Schizosaccharomyces pombe: one gene and its partners. The protein of the gene in region 1 binds, or shares a complex with, the protein of each later gene. Each region holds a gene or a part of one and is shown in the gene's direction. Other genes may lie near its edges. The genes, in order: mrpl31, SPOM_SPCC777.17C, mhr1 and mrpl10.

Region 1 (3,609 bases):
CAATCAATAAGTAATCCAGAGGTTTATCTAAATCAGCGAGGGGATGTAACTTGGCGGGATCGAATTCAGAACCCGATAAAATATCTGAGGCTGTAGCCTCGGTAGGGACCTGCAATTCAGAAGAATCAATCTTTGAGGTTGGTTCCTCTTCTTTATTTCTTGTAAACAACCAAGACATATCTTAAAAAGTTGATTTTTCGCAAAGGCGCGATGGTGGTTGTCTGCAGGTAGCGGTGGTTACAGGAACTGTGTATTAGCACCTAAATTAAAATAGTAGAAAAAAATTGTTGAGACGTAAAAAGTGTCGCAATTATCATGAATTTACATTTATATATAAAAAAAAAGACTTAATGAATAAATCCTCGATCGTTAAATAACGCCCGAACTTATTTACTCGATCACCGCTTAAAATTCTAGACAAGTTGGGCATAGGTCCATCGATAAAACAATAGAATAGAAGAAACTATAAAACTTTTTTTTATGAGAGAACAAACAACGAAAATACAAAAAATATAACACTAAGTATTATCAATTATACAGTTACGCAAAGCAAGCATAAGACCGTTGTGAATTAAATTTACGTCCAGACAAATCAAAGGTCTCTATTAATATTAATATGCCATTCACATTAAGAGCCAAACCAAAGCGTGTTAAAGGAATACATTGAATCCGTAAATATCCTAAGTACGAACAGGTAAAGAAAGCTAAAGTAGATATCTAACAACAACAAAAAACGAAACTTGCTAGCTCAAAATCACAAAACCATATTCAGCACATTTAAACGACCCAAAACGAAAGAAGGCCTTTAAATTTCTTTGAGCGCAAAAGTAAGACTGGGAATTTAAGCAGTCTATTTGAGGACATACTTGCGAAAAGCAAAGTAAGCAACAACCATCACAAGGACAAAGAGCCACATAGCAGGCTTAACTGGTTGAGAAGAATCATATCCACTTCCACCAGCGGCAGCACCAGTTGTGGGAAGCTGAGGGCCATCTTCAGTCTAAAATATGTTAGAGTGTCGAAGCAAATTTTTACAAAAATTTTAACGAGCCTATGGCGAACGAAGAGAAAAAATAAATGACATACTCTGAGCAAGTTTCCAATGTAAAATTTTTCGAGCAACTCCTGAGCATCCTCAGAGTGACCAACATCCTCGAAAGGACCGCTAGCATCACGACCTAAAACAAGTTAATAATCACAGAAACGAACAAAAAAAAGCCCCTAGCGATGGTAGAGAAAGGCAGAAACTTTGTATAGCCAATCCAAAAGCCGTATGTGAAGAATCGAAGCGATATCGTCAATCAATCTTTCCAAAATTATGTATTTCAGTGTATTCAGAGTACTGGAAATACAAAACATCGAGTAGAGAGCGATCAATCTTGGAACATATAGACTGTACTTAACAATTCACCTTCAATGACAATGTCGCATTAAACATCGTATTTATTCAGGATATCGCATCTATTTTTGTACGTTCCTACGGCAAAGATTCGTCCTGAATCTTTCAAATTAAAGAACATGTGTATATGCGACACCTAAACTCTCGTGAAATTCAAAGTTTTGTAACGCTAGTTGTCTGAAACTTCGATTTCTACGACTCCACACAATCGCGACCAATTTTTATGCATTACAACCAATCTTCCTCAAGACCTCCATTATCGCGTACCCCTAAAAATTTACTTACCGGCCAAATCAACAAGAACCTCTTCACCACCAGGGTGAGCGTCAAGGAACTTGGAAATATCATACACCTTGTCTTTTACAACAATGTACAAATCATCACGAGTGTTATGTTTTAACACTTCTTCAACAGTAATTGTCTTCTCTGCCATGATCAAGTTCTGCTTATTCTTCCTTAAAGGTGGTATTTAACGGTTATAACCCAGGAGCTAATTACTCTCGAGATGTTGGTTGCAAATGCCCTATCGCGATTTATCTAGCAGGTGGGAAGTAGAAATGAGCCGATTCTTACTGGCAGGTGGTCACGTGGATTCGAGTTGGAAGGTACACCCAAGGATATGAACTTACCCAAAACCTATATCATTCTTCAGTTAACCAACTCCACCATTTTGGAGGTGTAGTGTTTATATTTGAATGGCAATATAATATTTAAATCAATTTAGGACGCTAATCAAGTTAATTTTTGTTCACATCTTTGCTGTTTCGTTGGAGCCGTAAACTACTTTGTGACAAACCATCAACTACTCAGAATTTGTCTATCACCCAAAAACTTAACAAAAAATTTTTATTTGCTCTTTTTGATCCAACCTTCTTCCTCTCCTTTTGATTTTATACGAAAAATATGCTGGGTGCATTTAACTCGACTTTGGCTCGCTTTGGCGGTCTTGTTCATAAAGTACCTTGGAGATTATCCCAGCGAAGAAAATATCGTCACCGTCAACGACTTCGTGCCGTCGATGAGGTGGTAGATGTTTTGCGCACGGCGTTGCAAGAGAAAAATCAATCGTGCAAACGAATTGAAAGTTTCGTTGCTAACCATCAGCCTGAATCCCAAATGTCACCAAAGGATAAATACACTATGTTTACCAGGAAGACTCAAGGTGCCGGTCTCCAAGGCTTCCGCAAGGGTGTCCATAAATCACCAAAATGGACCCGTAGTACTAATCGTGTTAATCCCACTGGCTTTTAAAAACGTCTGGTTGCAAAAGTTTACTACTTTTTTTTTCATAATTTTAATGCTCTATGAATAATAAATGTAATGGATTATTTTAATAGCTTATTTTATTACTTTTTTATTGCAAAAACTCCCACCTCTTCCTCGTCTTCGTTCATATTCAATTTCCAGTTTCATACATATTCAAACAAACGACATTAGCCTTTAGTTAGAGTAAAGTTCATATCACCTCTATTATACGTCTCTTTAATTCTTTGCTCTGTAAAACAATACATAAGCAGACGATGTGACAATATCCTCCGGATCTATTTCACAAATAGCTGTATCATCAAACTTAAAGAATGTTTGGCTCGATGCATCTCTTGCATAGGCAGTATAATGACCATTACTCATAAACCCGTGATGATTGTCCACTGCATACAAATCGTAAAGCATCGATTTCTGTGACGATAGCCACTCATGATCTTTTATAAATGGACTCAAAAATTGCTTCAAATTGAGATCAAATACTGGATAAACTACTAAATCCCTTCGTTTACGTCTTCTCCGCAAATCTCCACCGTGGCCGCTGAATCGATTTAAATGAATGACTAGTATTTTTGGCAATCGCCAGATCTCCAGCCGTTTTGTTGCCGGTCGAAATGCCTTACACCCAGGACAATACCAGGAATCCTGTAAATCAAGCTGCTCTGGCTTGGAAAACTCCAGTAAACAATCTTCAAGGGTGATGGACTCCATATGGAACTGAATTTTTTCAAATATCCATTCGCAGTTATAAAATAACTTTTCATATTGTTGATCGTTCCATAGACACATAATTACAGTTTTGTCGTCAATAACGATTTCCTCTTCCTCCACTATTTCAAACCTTTTAACCTCAATTTCCTTTATGCATTCCCATTTCCCGGCCTTACTTTCCATCCGCTTCAGTCCAAGCTGAAGAGTTCCGATTGCTACGTCTATGCCTGCATAAA
Region 2 (3,513 bases), 730 kb from region 1:
AGGGCATTCTTGCTCGTCTTTTTGCTGTACTTCCTCATTAATTTTTATGTCTCCTAATTTTTCGGTTACAGTCTCAGATTCATCTTCATTAGAAGAATCAGATTCATATTCACGTTGGACATAGTCCGTAAGGCGATTCAACATAGCGACCACAAGTTGGGTTACGTTTACGCTTGGAGAAAGCTTTATGACCGTACCGAAATATGTATCGAGGGTTTGAAGATGCATATTATCAGAAAACGCCTGACAAATTACTTCAACAAGATACTCTTGTGCAAGTGAGTCCCGACATTCAATAATTTGCTCGATTATGGCAGGAAGGACATGATCTCGGTAAGTGTCTATATCGAGGTTTAACTGAGATAATCGAACCAAATTCAGCCCAACAAGAACCTTTAGCTCATTCCTTTCTTGGGTACGTTTGGAAAATTCTTTAATTGGACCAAGATGTTGGATTCTAACCCACAATTTATTCATTTCCGTAAAGTTGATAACTAAAAATTTAACAGAATCGAGTACGGTTCCTTTGCGAGATGCATCTTCCTCATCTTCTGATCCCAAAGGTAATCCTTTTCTTGTTTGGGTAAGCAGATAATGGCGCAAAAAAAGACCTCTTAACGGATGCTGAACACCTCTACACATATCTAACAAATCATTCATAATTTCACGTACAAGGGCATTAGGCGTTTCCAAATAAGCGCTTCCAACGGTTATCATGAGATATAAACGAGGGACAATACTACCGGCATATTGAACAAGTTCATAAAGGTCCATTAGGTTGTGAGTACCGTTCAGATGCGTTTCCAGCAATGTGCCCCCAAGTAAACGCAAGCTTTCCATATTAAACATATACAGCTCATAGTATTGTTTTGGAGTAAGTGCAGAATTTCTCATTTCCACGAGACTAATACTGCAATTACGAAATGCATCCATCAATCGTCCTGTCTGCAAGTTTCTTTGCATCAGCCTACTAGACTGCTTGCAAATATTTAAGGACTCTTCCAAGCTCCTTGTAATTTCTTCGTTAGCAGTATTAATTCCGTTCATAGAGCCCTAAATATCCACTTCCAAGTGTTTCAATTTAACCAACGTAATTGTAATTTCAGTATAGTTTTACTAGCGGCCCAACTTTCGAACAGAAAAACAGGATGTTTGTTATTCTTTTTAATTCACTAATATTAGCAATGTTTTTTATAATGGGTTCGTTGAAATGTCTACAAATAAAGTTGGTGGTACTGGTTGAGATATATTGGTAGATCTTGAAGTATTGCGCGCAGCACAGCTTGGAATCGCGCTTCGCTCAATTTCAAATTGACCATTTTCATATCACAAATATCGCGCCTAAATAGTATATTATTTTGATAACAATTAAAAGAAACTATAAATCTAATCATCGGAAAGGTTCACACTACAAGATTCGTCTTAGACCTCTAAACTAACGGTTTTTGAATTCTACATTCAATTGAGAATTTATTTAAGCTGCTTTTCTTTTTATTTTGTAAAAACTTTCTTGACGGATTTCTTGGTGCACCCATTTAATTGAAATGAGTATTATGAAACCGACAACTCGATTTTTTCGCTTCAATTCCCTTGAACTAGCAGTCTCACCTTTTCAAAGAATTTATGGGCAACTGGTATGTCAAGCTTATAAAAAAAATCACCGTTACTTACACAGTTATTTAGAGGTTTCTTCGTAAACAGCCAAAACCGTTTTTGGTAAAACTGTTAAACAACGAAGTTTCAAAGCTAGGAAGGCAAGGTATGCTAAATTTTTCATAATTATAATGTTCTTCATTTCAAACCTATAATAGGGAGGTAGTGGTTACATCCTTTTATTATAAGAAATGCATTCTTTTAGCCGTCGTAGGAAACTACTAACTTTACAAAAGGTGATGTCGTCTCAGTGACAAGGGGATATTATCGAAATACACTTTTCCCCAAGAAGCAAGCGATTGCTGTTGATGCCTTAAAATCTATGAAAGCACATTTGTTACAAGGGTCCGAATTCTCGACGAAAACGAAGGAATAATAATACCTAAACTCTCACTTAGTTCAATCAACATAAAAAGAATTTATTGAGTTTATTAGTGGATTAATTAAGGCTTAGCTAGCTGCAATTTGAACAATTCTAGCTTTTCATTACGAGATATTGTTACATTACTAACAAGAATTACGAAGTATTCAGCATTGACTTTTTTCTATAAAAAAATATAAAAAATTTAATTAAAAGGCTTCACTAGAAGCGTAGTCTCTTTCTGAGTTTGAATATTATCGTTATTGTAATATTTTATCAGGGTTGATGCTTAGTGTTTCTCAATTACAATAACAAGCTTTGGATTTTCCTATAATAGTATAGTTAATATGAAATTTAAATCCTTGAATGGTAAACGTTTACTGCGTATTGTGCGGCCATCGTTTCTGCTCTATCAGCTCGTCTAGCATCTTCTTCTCACAGCTACCAACTATTTTGAGTTGGATCCAAAATCATCTCATAACTCGTGTTTATTATTGCTAAAGCAGCAGAGAAAATATTTTTCATTACCTTATTCAGCTTCAATGAAAATTAATTTGTTTTTTGTGTTTCTATTTGAACTTCTGCATTTCGTGGCAGCTTATAGTTGTGAAGGAGATGAATCAGCTGCCATTGAAGCTATGAATGTCTTACAGGTACCGTATGAAAAATACAACACAGACCCAGTTTGCGCTTTTGACAATTCCACCGTTGTCGAACTTTCAGATAAAACCTGGGATCATGTCATTGAATCTGGCAAATGGTTTGTGCAGTTGACTGCTGAAGGCTGTGCTAACTGTACTCTTGGAGAGCTACTTTTTAACGTAAGTAATGGACTGCATTTAATGTTGTCCAAATGCTCTTGTTATGAGATTGAATTTTGAGCCTCGGAAATAAATTAAACCATCTTTGGATTTAATTGAATCTGTACTAACTAATTTTAGGACCTTTCGCATGCTTTTCATGAAAAATATCCGGATGTCCACTTTGCCCGTGTTTACTTGAGCAGTAGCCTCGAACTTTCTGTACGCTTACTCATTTCTCGGATTCCTTCTTATTATTTCATCGATAATCAAAATTTCTACCGTGTTTCTCCTCAGGTTCTTCCCAAGAACAAGGCAATCGCCTTATATGAAAAAGACGGGTTCAAAAGTATGAAAAAAGAGCAAGGTTTTTTCTCTGTTAACGGGCCCTTGAAGTCCTTTTACTGGGTCTTTGGAAAGGCACTTGCACTTTACGGACACTTAAGTCAAAAATACACCCCTCTTGGAATGAATGTAGCTATTTTTGGGATCTCTGCCTACATAATGTATCGCTCTAGCAAAAAAGCGAAACAAAAACAAGCCGCTGCTGCTGCCGCCGCCGCTGCAAAAAAGAAATAAGCTATGTGGAAAATACTATTAGTTTTTGATAATATCAATTTTTTGAATAATTATACGAGAGTTTGTTACATGTTCTATATGTAAGGCACCGCTCTAGTAAAGGTTTATACCCTATTTGTT
Region 3 (4,170 bases), on another chromosome or scaffold:
AAACATTATAGCGGTCTTTAGTGTAGCCCACTGTCTAATAACTAGTGTTGCATACTTTTCAAAGTATGATAAAACGAAGCAAGGCATCGCTATTATAGCGTATTGGTACGCAGTGCCTAATTAATGCTAACTTGTGCGTAAATTGATATTGACAGCACAATGATTCAATTTCATTCCTTAACAAGAGCCATCTCTTTTTGTTGGATGCTTAGAACGCGTGGATTTTTAGGCTATTCAAGTGTTTGGTTTTGATCTATTTATCTATTTTATATTTTAATTTCGCATTTTATTTTGCAATGTTCAAGTTGGAACTCAAACGTATATAATCACTATTGGTAAAAGGCTCTTCAAAATGCCAGACGAAAAGTTACCTCAATACAATGAAGTTTGGAATGATTTGGAGAAGGGTTGTTTACATTCTTGTCCTTCATATTCAGTCAATAATCATGTAAACAATCCAATTGTCAAACAAAACTCAACATTAACACAACCATCGTTACGAAAAAAAAATACAATGGCTGCACCTGCTAGATTAAGAAAGCGTTCGGAAAATGTGCGACTTACACAAGCTAGATATGCGATATTTCATATCTTCCTTCCTTTCATTCTTACTTTATTGCTTTATCATAATTTTTATAATTATTTCGATCAGGCATTGGCGGATCTTAATTCTGTGGTTAAATATGTTATTGAAACTATAGTGTTAATATTTACATACGTGATGACAGTGATTATTGTTTATTGTAAGTTTTTGAGATGATTTGAATTCATGGCTAACGATTTTCTAGTTTCATTTTCGTTAATTAAATTAGCGTTTGAAGAAGCTTATGTTTATGCACCATCTGTAGCTAAAGCGAATGAAGGTCTAGCTAAACATGTAGCTAAAACGATTGCAGGCCTAGTTAAATATGTAGCTAAAGCAATTCAAGGTTTGGCTCATATTATTTTATCCTTACTGTTGTTTATTCTCGGGCTCGAAGTAATAGAACAAGATGAAGAGACTGGCGACGTTGAAATGTCGTCTATGCGAGGCCAAGCAATTACCACAGAGCCAGCAAGTGACAACACAATGGCTGAGGGAACCGATTGCAACACTTCTAAAGATGTAGAATCGGGCAGCAGCTAAAAGTCATGGCTAGAAAAAAAAATCAAGGGGCTGCCAACCAGCTGCGAGTGTCTTTTTTATTTCATTACTAATTTTCTTACTTTCCTGCAGAAGCTCCTTTTTTCCCCTTTATTTCTATTTCTTGTATTATTACCTTATACGCATTGTCACTTAATCATTTCCGATGACAGTCATCACTCTTTTTCCATACATACATTTTTGTCTCTGTTATAGAGTAAACACGATGTGTTTCTGTGGTGCTAGGAAAAGTCATTTAACTAATGAATCTGGTTGTCAATTATAAATTAATCATCCTCTTTATTGTTTTACCAAATTGATATACAATCCTTAATTATGACTTTGTAAGATTTGCGAATTAAAAAATTGAACAAGTAAGGCATTACTCAAAAGACGCAAAGTAGTGATTTAACCTTAGTTTCTGTTTAATGCATAAAATGAGGATTCCATATATCATTTTCAAGTGTTCGGAGCTTTAAAATACAGTATATACAGGAAATATAAGTTCAAACTTGTTTCTAAAACAAATAAAAATGAAAAATCAATTTGGTGTAGAGCGAAAACCTATTTTAAATAATGCGATTTCCCAATTCCTGGTCAGTAGCAATTTCTTTACAAAAAGAATTAAAAAATTATTCAATTTGTATTATATGAAATCTTTCGTATTCAAAATCTACCAACATTCAGCCCAAGCGAAAAGTAATATTTTTTGCTATGTCCATAGGTAACAATATAATTTATTTCAGAGAACACCCATTGAAATTGCTGCTTATATTAACTGTGTAACATAATATATTAGGTCACAGAGAGATTCATTGCACTTTAAGTATCGTTAAGCAGATACCGAAATACGTGAGCGACACTTTAAATAGATATTAAACTGCGTAGCTGACCAGTATTCAAATTTTCCGTCACTCACCGTATCATTAAAACATTTACTGTTTTTGGCTGCTCAACGCGCAATGCTGCCTAACATCTGTGCTAGCAAACGATATGTGTTTATTGGGCACAACGTTTATACGCGGACGCGCTATTAACAAACTTCGCATCTCTTACAAGCATATATGTAAACAGCCAATCTGTACTCGTAAAAGGAAAGAATGCTTGAAAAGAACAAGTATCTCTATATATTTAGGCATATTCAAACGAATCAGGTACTTTTATCTCAAGGAAATGTTTTAAAAAAGACTGCGTTGTTTCAACTTCCCTACCCACTTCAAAAGCCAGTCGCTCCAAATGGTATGCGACCCGCTAAGCTCCGTAAAGACCATTGGGTTCCTTTACTAAAAGTCGAATTTCCTAATGAATCAATGTTTCAATCTGTTTTTATGCAACTGTTAAACTATCGAAAATATCGTTCTGTTCAACCACTGACTAGTGACCTTTTGAAATTGCCTATACCCGTTCGTAGAAGAAAAATAATGCGACAAGAGGTTCCTAACACGATTGCGGACTTGGCAGATATTTTAAATAAAGAAAAATTTCCCGAAAATTCCGTTCGTTTGCAACTGAGTGATAAATCCGATAGTGAATATGCAGATTGGCCCCCTAGTGTGCAGATTGATTCAGAGGAAATTAAACTCTCGCGAGGTTTCCGTGAAAAAACAACCGTAGACGAAGCTAGATGAAGCATAATATCATTACTTCTCTCACTTTCTTCCTTCAAAAACACCCCTCATCCATTTTTAGGCTTTCTTAAAGGGCATTATATGAAGTATAAGCTAACACATATTCATATTAGCTCAATCTTTTTTACTTAATGATAAAGTCCTTTTTACTAAAGACGGTTACGAATTCTTCCCAGTGTATCCAGTGTATTGCACTGGACAGCTTCCTTAGCTTATCATTGTACTTCAATGCGAGAGTATTGGCTAGATACTCAAGACAAGATAAATTTAATACAAATCGACACCAAATACTCGTATCTTTATTATTTTACCATTTTGAAGTTTTCGAGCTCCTATGAAATATATGCAAGATTAACTCATCACTTTATTGCCTCGTTTTTTTTTTGTTTAAAGTTTGGTCCAGAATAAAAAAAAAATATTAGCATCTAAAATAGAAATCATGGACCAAATATTTAAATAGTTATAACAATGCCAAAAGAAAAGACTTTATAAACCAAAGACATAAATACCATAAATCGTTAAAGAGCGGTAGTTATAGTTAAACTCTTAGAGTGGATTAATGCACAAGGAGGTAATCCTTCCATAAATATTAATAAGTCATCAACATATTCCTCGCTTTTTCGAAAGCTCTTATGAGTGTCGGCCAAAGGTGCTGGTAAAACAGTAAACAATACAGAAGTATTTTTAGTATGTTTCAGCACGATTTCATTCATAATTATGTATTGAGATCTCGAGGATAAATCGTTAAACGTCAACTTCTCTTTAGAATAGTCCCTTCCTATTTTTTTCTTTGGTGCTAGTCTATCAGATGAACTATCTTCTCGGACCACGTTGGGCATCAGAGATGACTCAATAGTACTGTCAGAATAAGTTCTTCTATTTTCTTGTTTTGGTGATAAAGAACGGTTTCCGAAAGAAGATTCAGTCTCAAACGACTTTACTGAATGCATATGTGGCCCAAGGCGGAAACTCAATGGCACACTTAAAGGTGGAGCACTCTTATCAAAGCTGGCAGATCTAAAGTTATAACCAGACATACGACGTGGAAAACGAATAGGTCCTAAGGAATCTACAGTATTTCCTCTTCTTTTCTTTTCTTCCTGCCACCACGAGTCATCTTTCAGTAAGTTTTCAAGCTCGGAAGACTTGCTAGGTCTCACATGCTCATTTTTGACAATGTACCTATATGCATCCAAATTCATTGCAGCAAGACAGAGCACTACAACGTCGGCTTTGATACGGAACGTTTCTAGCATTTGATGCATGCTTTCTCGTTCTGCCTCTATTTCATTCTCGAATTCAACAAGAGTGATAAGCCGTAGCCTACAACCTTGTTTCCAATCTGAAGCTGTATGAAGGATCCAACTAAGTTGAAAAACCATAGTATACGTCTCGAAATTCGTCGCAAACGTTGGTGTA
Region 4 (3,723 bases), on another chromosome or scaffold:
GTTTGAGGCATTTGACCATCGGTAGCAGAAACAACAATGATAGCGCCATCCATTGTAGCAGCACCAGTAATCATATTCTTAATGTAATCGGCGTGACCAGGACAATCCACATGGGCATAGTGACGATTAGCAGTTTCGTATTCAACATGGGCAGATGAAATGGTAATACCACGTGCCTTTTCCTCGGGGGCCTTGTCAATTTGACTATAATCCATAAAACTAGCTTGACCAAGATCAGAAAGGCATTTAGTAATAGCAGCCGTCAACGTCGTTTTACCGTGGTCAACATGACCAATAGTACCAATATTGACATGCGGCTTTTTTCTAACGAACACCTTAAAAAAGTTAACAAGTAATCAAAAAGATGAAGAATGAAAAAAAAATACCTTTTCGTCAGCATAAGTTCGAGCTGGGACGGTGAACCGGTTAATCAAACCTGAAGCGAAAGAAATGCGGTTCAATCGCAAGCAATTTTTTCTAAAGCCTTGAAAGAGGAGAGAGGTAGCTTTAGCTGAATTCATAACGAAGGGAGCGTGTAGGCAGAGGAGAGGTCTCTGGCGCTCGTGTTGTCCTTGAAATAAGTCTCAGCGGTGCGCATCGTTATGAGAATACTATTGACACGAGCATTTCATGAAATAAATGGTCCTGGGTGTTTGGATACAATCAATATTTGTAGAATTTATTTTATTTTGTTCTATTTTACCGCTACGCCTATATATGATGATACGCTTGTTAATAATAAAAAAATACTAGATGAACTAGTGAACAACACCGCCAAATCGAAAGCAATTGATAGTTTTTTTTTATTTGCACAATGAATGGTATTATGTCTCTGATCTCTAAAGGAATGTCAATCTGATTTTGCTAGATCGCAAGAGCAACCACCATGCAAGCAAAAATCGCTTACTATCCTGTCAAGTACAAAGAATAAAACCATTAATGAAAAGTCTCAATGACAAAGCTCAGCGTCTCGTGAATGTTGGTTAACTTCGAAGAGTCTTTTGCTTTTATTAAGTAAAAGGATGTAAGGAATAACAAGAAGTGGTGCGTGACTAAAGAAAGATAAAACTATCCATCCAACGGAATAAAGGAAAATCAAACTTTTCTGTAATATAGAATACTCAAATCAAAAGTCGTTACTATTGTACGAAGAAGCACCTCTAAAGCGAAAAATTTTAAACAAAAGAATGAGATAAAAATATGTAGATAGCTTTGTATAGTAATTTTATTCGTTCCTTTAATTACGAGGTGGAGCAATCAAAATAACCGAATCACCTAAAGTTCATTAGCATTTGGCGAAAAAGGAAAAACAGTTTCGAAAAGGAAAGCTTAATCATGGTCAAACTTTTCGAGCGTAATATTTAGAATCTACGTACCACGAACAAAGAGCATCTCATAATGTTTGCGAATCGTTTTTAAGGCCTTGTCCTTATCGGTCTCTTCATCATCAAAAATAGTTACAATTTCTTCAGCATCTCCTAGTACCATATTCTAAAATACGTGTAAGTAATCCATCCAAATGCGAGTTATGAATATGATTCATACCAAATGTTCATCATAGGCCTACAATCGAGTTAGTATAACCAATTCAGAATAAGAAAAATATTCAAGAAACGTTAAAAAAATTTCATACATGAAGACGGCCATTTAATTCTCTATCTCCCCGTAATTTTACATAAACGATTTCATCCAAAGAAAGCCTCACCAAATCAAGAGGTTCCGCGACCTACAAACATTAGTTACCGAGTTACTGTTGATAAATCTTACTGCCTGTGCCGATTCCATTATAAAGTAAAGGGTTATTATATCTACCAAGCAAGATCGCTGTTGCTGCAATTATGCACTGGCATATGTCAGGAAGAAATAAAGGAGGAAACAAATTCGAATTGCGCAGTGCAGCGATGCTGAATATAGTAATAAAGATATTTTTATGAGACGCTATAGAATTTTACGTATTCGTGTGTGTCCGAATCTTTTGTAATAGTAAACAGCAGCCTTGGACTTATTACCATCTAAACTCGACGAAACCCGTTTTTTGAATTGGAAAATGTTTAATATTTTATCTCGGGTTTGTCGCAGTTCTTCATTTCATGGTTTTTTGAGATCCTCTGGTTATCCAAGATTTGGTGCTAGTTTCCGCGGCATCAGTATGTTGAATGATTTAAACAACAGTGCAAATTATCAGTCAAAGAAGCGAGTGGGTAGAGGCCCTGCGAGCGGTTTAGGAAAAACCTCTGGACGTGGTCATAAAGGATCTGGTCAAAGGCGTGGACGGAGAATTAAACCTGGTTTTGAAGGTGGTCAAACTCCTATCACCAAATTATTTCCTAAAGTTGGTCACAGTACGGGACATTTGAAGAAACCGTTGCGTCTGGGGTTAGGGAGAGTTCAGGAATGGATTGATCGTGGTAGATTGGATGCTAGCAAGACAATTACTATGAAAGACCTCCTCGATAGTAGATGCTGTAGAGGTATTAAACATGGAGTTGAACTTACTGCTGACGAACCTGGACTCCTTAAAACAGCAATTTCCATAGAAGTTTCTAAGGCTACAGTTCAAGCTATACAACAAATCAAAAATGCAGGCGGCAGTATAACAACAGTATATTTCAGCCCGTTGGCGCTACGTGCCCATTTGCATCCTTCAAGTTTTCGTACACCTCCTCGCCCTCCCCTTCCAGTTTCAAAGAAAGACATACGCTACTACACAAATCCACATTTTGCAGGGTATCTTGCCAACGTTAAAAATATTCGAGAGCTATATTATGGCGACCAACGATTCCCCTACGAACCGATTGTTAAAGATAAATAAGTAGTTCCCATATTACATCAGAACTTGATATATGTTCATCAAAAATCCCGCTTTCCTAATATGTCCTTAAAACTTTGTTATGTCTATTGATGATTCCGTGCAGCCTCCTTTACTTTCTTGGATGGGTTACATGTTGAGTTTTGTAAGGAAATATCTGCATCCTTTTCTTAGTACATTTGTATAATTACGTTTCCAATTTCGGTGTTTGAGCTCTCTACTGACTTTTTCGCTTACAGTTCAATACCCATTAGTAATATTTTGAATACCTTTCTCATTCGAAAATATAGCTTCCTTCTTTATCCCCCAAATCCCCTTGTTGTAGTCAGTTCATTCTCTGTCAGATAAACCCTTTCTCACATTTATTCATTTGCTTCATTAGTAGATTTGAGCATTCGCAGTCATGCACTTTTTTTGTATAATCAAGAACCCCTGCCGACTGTTTGTTAAATTATTATCTTTTGCCTTTTTTTGTTTAAAGCTTTCTTAAAATTTTTTCATCCTCCGATTGTCTATCCAACAGGAAAAGATCTTTCAAAGGATCTCCTTTTCAAAGGCATGCAAGGAAGAAGAAAAAGAACATTTGTTGATCAATGGAACGGTTAAAGACTTATATATAAGAATGACTAAGAAAACCGGCATTTGTAATAGAAGTGTAAGCGAACCATAGTAGTACATTAACCTTATGATCAATTAATCTACATAAACGGTCAATTCTAAAAAAAATAATACATATTGACTGGGAAACTCCTTATTTCATATATTAGAAAGGGACATTTATCAACTCTCCAATTAGTGCACTAAAACGCAGTATGGAAGGAACGATGCTAAGAACTGCTTCAACACTTTGTCAATAAACCAACAATGTCGGCTCCGTCGCCGTTTATTAAGAAACTTGCAGCTAATGGTAAATT

Evidence for each region.
Region 2: mrpl31 (region 1) and SPOM_SPCC777.17C share a complex: the UniProt entries of both Schizosaccharomyces pombe proteins name them as parts of the mitochondrial large ribosomal subunit.
Region 3: mrpl31 (region 1) and mhr1 share a complex: the UniProt entries of both Schizosaccharomyces pombe proteins name them as parts of the mitochondrial large ribosomal subunit.
Region 4: mrpl31 (region 1) and mrpl10 share a complex: the UniProt entries of both Schizosaccharomyces pombe proteins name them as parts of the mitochondrial large ribosomal subunit.

Annotation. Positions count from the first base shown.
Region 1 is NC_003421.2:886,556-890,164, forward strand, and holds mrpl31 (mitochondrial 54S ribosomal protein mL60), read left to right. Parts: upstream 1-2,030; 5' UTR 2,031-2,302; coding exon 2,303-2,650; 3' UTR 2,651-2,740; downstream 2,741-3,609. Other genes in the region: TIM23 translocase complex subunit Tim23, read right to left, coding at 1-178; oca8 (cytochrome b5), read right to left, coding at 851-1,000, 1,087-1,178, 1,685-1,832; ubiquitin hydrolase Ubp1, read right to left, coding at 2,882-3,609. UniProt on the Schizosaccharomyces pombe protein: Component of the mitochondrial ribosome (mitoribosome), a dedicated translation machinery responsible for the synthesis of mitochondrial genome-encoded proteins, including at least some of the essential transmembrane subunits of the mitochondrial respiratory chain.
Region 2 is NC_003421.2:1,617,090-1,620,602, reverse strand, and holds SPOM_SPCC777.17C (mitochondrial ribosomal protein subunit L9), read left to right. Parts: upstream 1-1,544; coding exon 1,545-1,634; exon of another isoform or gene 1,635-1,683; coding exon 1,684-1,759; exon of another isoform or gene 1,760-1,889; coding exon 1,890-2,029; 3' UTR 2,030-2,457; downstream 2,458-3,513. Other genes in the region: retromer complex subunit Vps35, read right to left, coding at 1-1,047; SPOM_SPCC777.12C (ER stress response thioredoxin family membrane disulfide oxidoreductase), read left to right, coding at 2,557-2,835, 2,956-3,393. UniProt on the Schizosaccharomyces pombe protein: Component of the mitochondrial ribosome (mitoribosome), a dedicated translation machinery responsible for the synthesis of mitochondrial genome-encoded proteins, including at least some of the essential transmembrane subunits of the mitochondrial respiratory chain.
Region 3 is NC_003423.3:1,799,312-1,803,481, reverse strand, and holds mhr1 (mitochondrial 54S ribosomal protein mL67 ), read left to right. Parts: upstream 1-2,191; 5' UTR 2,192-2,223; coding exon 2,224-2,751; 3' UTR 2,752-3,269; downstream 3,270-4,170. Other genes in the region: SPOM_SPBC18H10.18C (uncharacterized protein), read left to right, coding at 353-743, 789-1,126; vacuolar membrane cation-chloride cotransporter Vhc1, read right to left, coding at 3,270-4,170. UniProt on the Schizosaccharomyces pombe protein: Component of the mitochondrial ribosome (mitoribosome), a dedicated translation machinery responsible for the synthesis of mitochondrial genome-encoded proteins, including at least some of the essential transmembrane subunits of the mitochondrial respiratory chain.
Region 4 is NC_003423.3:1,820,889-1,824,611, forward strand, and holds mrpl10 (mitochondrial 54S ribosomal protein uL15m), read left to right. Parts: upstream 1-2,014; 5' UTR 2,015-2,047; coding exon 2,048-2,812; 3' UTR 2,813-3,069; downstream 3,070-3,723. Other genes in the region: translation elongation factor EF-Tu Tuf1, read right to left, coding at 1-335, 387-521; U6 snRNP-associated protein Lsm3, read right to left, coding at 1,238-1,275, 1,377-1,491, 1,546-1,563, 1,634-1,726, 1,768-1,785; Nop52 family nucleolar protein, read left to right, coding at 3,674-3,716. UniProt on the Schizosaccharomyces pombe protein: Component of the mitochondrial ribosome (mitoribosome), a dedicated translation machinery responsible for the synthesis of mitochondrial genome-encoded proteins, including at least some of the essential transmembrane subunits of the mitochondrial respiratory chain.